Drosophila melanogaster: one gene and its partner. The gene in region 1 interacts genetically with each later gene. Each region holds a gene or a part of one and is shown on either strand. Other genes may lie near its edges.

Region 1 (3,130 bases):
TATGTAACTAAATGAATGAGTTACTATATTTGTCGTGTCTTGCCGACTTTCACGATCTCAATCTATATAGATATAGATAACCTATTAATACGTCACAAATGCTTATCATATAGACCAACTGCTTCATCATCAAGTTCCAAGTGTTTTATTATATAATGGGTAGAACAAGCGTAGTTAAATGTCAGGCTTCTTTTAACTTTTATCTTTATAGATTCGAGATTATCAACTGTTATCATATATATAACAGAAATATTGTGTCATTTGATTAGAAACGTATTTACAGAACTGGATAAAGCAGATGAGTTACTATCCAATACCATCAACACTGTGGTCCAACTAAAGGGTTATCAGATGGGTTTAGCTGTTGATTTCGTGAAGCTTTGTTTTTGGACTCAGTTTCGGTGTCGATTTCAATTAGAATCTTGCGCAACTCTTGGAGCCGATAAGCGAGTATATTTATAGAGTTAGTTTTACGCCAGCCACTTGATAATGTGGCAGCAAAAAAAAAAAAAAAAAAACAATTGATCGGCCAAAAAACGAATCTTTACTGAACACACATGGGTTTGCCAATTATAATACGTATTCTTCATCGGATGGTTGTCCATTTTGAGGTATTCATTTCGCAGGATGCATGCCGCTGCCCATATACTTGTCGAACAGGAATTCGCCCACCTGGTTTTGTGCCTTCTCCAATTGGCTAATATAGTCGGCCAGAATCTTCTGGCCATCCACTTGCTCCTGCAGGAAATTGGCCTCGATGAAATCGCAGAGATTCGGATCCGCTTCCTTGCCAGCCAGGGCGTGCAAATCGAGCAGATGCTTATTGACCTCCAGTTCCATTTTCATTGCGTGCTTTAGTGCATCCAAGGTGCTGGCGAAACAGGGCAACGGCTGTGGTACACTGCTCAAAATGATTAGACCACCACGCTTGTTCATGTACGTCATGATCTTCTCCGCGTGCTCCCGCTCCTCGACGCTCGCCTTTAGGAAGAATCGATGCATTCCGGGTGAACTGATATCGGAGCGATCGAAATGGTAGGCCTACGTGTATTGAACGTACTATATGCATATATATATATTCCCTATTGACTGCGGAACCTTACCATGGCCAGATACTGGTGGGATGCCTTCAACTCCATGTTGATCTGATCGTTTAGCTTCTTCTCGCAACTTTTGGCGAAGTTCTGACGCACCAGCATGCACATGTGGCGCCGAATGTCGCGGAAGCACCACGCCATGTCTTTTGCTTCTTTTTGAGTTTTTTTCTATCTTTTTTTTTTTTTTTTGTTTTTGAAAATTTAGAAACCTATACAATTTGGAATTGAAAGTCAAAACACAAACAGTGTGTCTAAAAGGCAACTGGGTCGGTTCGGACAGGTGTCGATGGATCGGATACGATCCATCTAAGTTCGTCCATTGATCTCATCTCCAAATATCCAGATCTTCACATCTCCGCATCGATCTCCGATCTCGCGATCTGGAGGAGGTGTTGATCCACCGTTCGGACGGCCAAAAAACAACGGGTTGGAGTTCAAAGTGCTGCCGGCTCTGATTTCACTTAACTTCCACTTAGCAATAGTGTGTACACAATCTCTCACTCGGTTTGTTCGCATCTATATACGTTCGTACGTATAGCTTATAGATACAGATACATATGTATATATGTACATATATAGTTAAATATCTGTGTCCAGATATGTTTGCTTTAACTTCAACAAGTACACACGAACACGGACACACTAAGTAAACGCAGTTATTGTCTTTTATTAAGTGAATGGAAGACGACTTTTGTCCGAGTTTTGTATAATCGTGTTATACCCTTTCTCATAGGGTATTTGAACGCTTTTCCCAAAATATTGCTGATACAGAAAATTGCGACAGCCAATGCAAGTTAAAATAAGAAATTTAATTTATTAAAGGATAGAAAACATAATATTATATTTTGTATTTCAAATGAAATGCTTTCGTAGGCGAGTTCAACGCGTCTTACAGGTTTAGGGTATTGAAAATGTAAAGATCTCCCAAGCCGAGGTTTCCAAACATTTCCTATAAACATCCAGGTGGTCAAAACTACTCGCACTTTACTACAAACATCCACTCATTACGCACATTTAAAAAACCAACAAAGCAATGGTGACTCTTGAAGCCATGTGCGCCCCATAAAAAGGCAATAATAAAGATATAAATGGTTCATTTTCACCGACACACAGGAAAACGAACCGAGAAAAAAAACACATAGGAGTTATGCAAATCATCGTTGAACTGGACAATAACAACCCAAATAAAAAATAGCAAACATTTTTAGATGAGTCTTTACGTTTTTTTTTTTCAAGCATTATGAAACAATTTTCCCTATGATTGTGATTAAATAATATATACACTTATTAAGTGAACGATGACATATGATCTTGTGTGTTTATAGAGGCAATTAACATGTTTAGTTCATTATGCAACAGTCGCAATAAAAATGAAAATTATTATCTTATTCAATATTTAAGGGTCAAATGGAAAGGCTTTTGAACACAGAAAAATTTCTAGAATTTTGTAGAAGATTTTACAGGCATTAAAGTTCTATAATTACTTAAGCATATTGAATTTCAACAAAATCCACATCGGAACTCAGTTAAATTTCAAATTCCACTCCCGTAATGCCAACAAGATTTTAATTTGGACAAGTGTGACAGCTTCAGCGACACATTTACATCACCTCCAAAATAATGGCAACAATCCAGTTTGCAGTGTCATAAAAACGTGCAACAAATTATTAACATTAAATTAAGCTGCGGAGTCACAAAAAAATTTTTATATACATTCGACGTGTTAACACAAAACTCAAACGTCAGCATATGAGGTAAAAAAAAAAAAACAAAATCCAACATAATTTGCTGAACATGAGGTCGAAAATAGCGTACGGCATACGAAAATATTTAATCGATTTGAGCTATTGTCGGCATGATACTCTTTCAAAGAGCATACAAACTTGTTCCAAAAATTAAACTATATATTAAAAAAATATTCAATTGTATGTATATAATTAAGTGTTATAAATGTGTACCATCTTAATTTTGGTATAAATATAAGCTGCTAAAATATCTATTACATCTTAAGGGGTATTCCCGTCTCGACTATT
Region 2 (3,427 bases), 4.0 Mb from region 1:
CCGCCCTTCAACCAGATGCCCCAGAACTTTATGGGTGCCCAGCAGCAGCAGCAGCAGCAGCAGCCGCACTTTAACAACATGTTCGGTGGACGTCACTAGAGTGTCGTAGACTTAGATATCCATACTATTAACGTTATGCAATTTAAACGTAATGTAGAAACGAGAATAACGCCCTTTGAAGTGCCCGTGTATCTGCTAGCTGGCAAGTGATTTTTATTATTTTTTTTTTTACCATACATGTGTGCTGCTGCCAAAAAAAAGAAAAGAAAATAATCACTACCTTCATTTGTTTATAAAACACCGAACAACAATAGAATTCAGAAAACATAAATCTGAAGAGCACGTGAATAAACATACACAATAATTCCGGAAATCAACTTTAATCGACTTTCGTTTGGAATTATTAGCTGGGGGAGCTTTGAGTTCTGAATTCTGTGTATTGAAATAAAAATAAACGAAATGGAACGTACAAGTGACAAATAATAAAATAAAATAAAATATGTATAGCTACATATGATGTTCTTCAATGGTGATTTGATTATTATTATTTGATTTATACATTAAACAACTGATTTTTAAGTTTATTCCTCTCAAAAACAACAAATTTAAACTTCGAAACCAAAACTAATCGTACATAAATGAATAAGCGAATGCAAAGCATTTATACCAGAAGCTAAGCTTCACAGCTCCAGGGAAGTATAAGTATATACCTTTGCTCATCCGCAGCAGCAGCAGTTCCATGTATATCGAGTGACCACTGTGCCAACAGATGAAGAACAATAAATATATCAAAATCGAACGTTTCAACCGACTTTTTATGGAGGAGAATTTAAACTAATCACGGAATTAACTACAGTAGGGCAGGCGTAGGAAGTCCACGGACTGTGACTTCAGTATGCCGGGTATCTCCTGCTGCAACAGTTCGTGCAGCGACTGACCACTGTGCTTGTAGATCCATCTGCCCGCCGCCACAGTGCCGACGAAATCGTATCGCTTGGGACCGCTGGTGGGCGAACTGAGCCAGATCTGCTTGTTGGGCGTCTGCCGGTTGATCACATAGGTGCCGTGTTGTCCTCCCAGGTTCACGGTTAGCACGCCATCCTGTGGAAGCGGAAACCCCGCGAGGATTAGCAGGTCAATGGAATGATGTAATAGCCGAATGTCACCTACGCTGTAAGCCACATCCGTGCCCTGCAGCTCGGAGGCGTTCTCCGTCAGCTCCTCGAAGTAGTCGCACAGTGCGTCCAGGGTGTCGGAGCACACACGCTCGTAGGTGGCGCCGTCCAATGTGGATTCCGTCTCAATTTGACTGCTAAACAATCGCCGGTTGGCAGTGAATTCCTCGCATTGAATAGCAACTGCGGCTATCGCTGGTGTGCTGGGCAGGATCACTTGGCTGGCGTGTGCTTGGGGCTTTGACCACCTGCCCATGGTGGCCAAGCATGCCCGACCAACGATCGAACGGACCATCAAACGACCGGCAAACATTTTTTAGTTGTTTACGATTTGTTTATATTTTACAAATCCCAGTTGCGGGGCTGCCAACTTAATGGAAAATGATTTGCCGTTGGTATTTTCTAGATTCTAGTGTGGTATAATTTTTGATTTCTATAAAGCTGAATAAAAATGAGAAGTTACAGATTTTTTTTATTAGTAGCAGCAATTCAGCTAAAGTGTTCTGCTAGTTTTAGGTAACTAAAATTTTGTATATTCTCTAGCAGTTACTATTTCCTTATCATATATATTCCGCTATATATACCAATTCCCGGCTTATATGATTTTTCTTAGAATCAGATACGGCCACACCTCCACCAACGCCGACAGAAAATGGCGTCTGTCTGAAAATTGTTATTTCTCTTGGAAAATCCATACAAATTTGACCAGCGAATTGCACAAAGATGGCCCTGCCAAGCAACTACAAGCAGATAGCCGTTGGCGGCCAGGGATCGGCCACACCACTCCAGGGCGGCGGCGGTGGCTCCGGCGGCGGCAGCCGGTCGCGTTCATCCGGCGGCGGAGGTGGTGGCGATCGCAACAAGGATCAGACGCCCATCTTCACGCACAGCAACTATGGGAATCCGGCATTCACGCCACAGAAGGTAACCAAGTCGTCGAGCAGCAAGAACCAGAACGAATCAAGGCTACCCAAGCCACCAAAGCCGCCGGAGAAGCCCATTTTGCCCTACATGCGGTATTCGAAACGCGTCTGGGATAGCGTCAAGGCGAAGCATCCAGAGCTGAAGCTGTGGGAGCTGGGTAAGAAGATCGGTGCCATGTGGAAGTTGCTGCCCGAGGATGAGAAGACGGAGTTCATTGACGAATACGAGGCGGAGAAGCTGGAGTACGAGAAATCGCTAAAGGCCTACCACCAGACGCCCGCCTATCAGGCCTACATGTCGGCCAAGAGCAAGGTGAAGACCGACGTGGATATGCATGAGACACCGTCACGCGGTGGCGGCAGTAAGTCGCAGCATGAGCGACGCATCGACATTCAGCCGGCGGAGGACGAGGATGACCAGGACGAAGGGTATACGACCAAGCACTTGGCCTACGCCCGCTATCTGCACAACCATCGCCTGATTAACGAGATATTCTCGGAGGCCGTTGTACCAGATGTGCGTTCAGTGGTGACCACCACGCGGATGCAGGTGCTCAAGCGGCAGGTCAGCTCGTTGACGATGCACCAGACCAAACTTGAGGCGGAACTGCAGCAGATGGAGGAGAAGTTCGAGGCCAAGAAGCAGCGCATGGTGGAGTCCAGCGAAGCCTTCCAGGAGGAGCTAAAGCGCCACTGCAAGCCGGCGGTCGACGAGGAAACTTTCCAGAAGATGGTGCTTCGCATGTACGAGGACATCAAGCGCGATCGCCAGCGATTGGATGAACCGAATGCGAATGCGAATAGCGCAGCGAATCCTGCTGCAGCTGCCGCTACAGCTGCCGCCGCTCCAGTGACGAGGAGCGAGGAGGCAGTGAAGCCGCCAACGCAGCCAGGTCAGCCCGCTGCCACACCCGCTGGCCAAGAGCCGGCGTCGGCGGTACCAGCGCCAGCAGCTCCGCCCAAGGAGACACCGCCGGCTGTGAAGCCCGCTACACTCAATCCCACACCGAGTTCAACGCCTACGCCGGCGCCAGCGGTGCACGTGCACGAAACTGCCAGCAAAACGGATCCCGAGCCCATGGACATTGAGCCACCGCCGAAGCCATCGGTTCCGCCGCCACCCATCAAGCCAGAGAAGCTGGAGATGGCCGCTGCCCTGCCTCCGCAGTCAACGCTAGTCGAGCCACCCAAAACGGAACCCGCCAAAGTGGTGGCCCAGCCCGGCAAGGTGCCCACACCGGTGCCGACACCCACACCGCCGCCTGAGGTGGCTCCAGCGGCCGGAGCAGCTACTGCAGCGACCACAACAACGACGACGACACCAACGCC

The links.
Region 2: of Fer3HCH (region 1) and fh, changing one suppresses a phenotype caused by changing the other (phenotypic suppression), as found in Drosophila melanogaster (2 studies listed by BioGRID).

What each region holds. Positions count from the first base shown.
Region 1 is NC_004354.4:13,106,859-13,109,988, forward strand, and holds Fer3HCH (ferritin 3 heavy chain homologue), read right to left. Parts: upstream 1,337-3,130; 5' UTR 1,239-1,336; coding exon 1,104-1,238; intron 1,042-1,103; coding exon 616-1,041; 3' UTR 524-615; downstream 1-523.
Region 2 is NC_004354.4:9,147,525-9,150,951, forward strand, and holds fh (frataxin), read right to left. Parts: upstream 1,548-3,427; 5' UTR 1,489-1,547; coding exon 1,171-1,488; intron 1,102-1,170; coding exon 847-1,101; 3' UTR 556-846; downstream 1-555. Other genes in the region: CG7065 (uncharacterized protein), read left to right, coding at 1-99; Bap111 (brahma associated protein 111kD), read left to right, coding at 1,899-3,427. UniProt on the Drosophila melanogaster protein: Promotes the biosynthesis of heme as well as the assembly and repair of iron-sulfur clusters by delivering Fe(2+) to proteins involved in these pathways.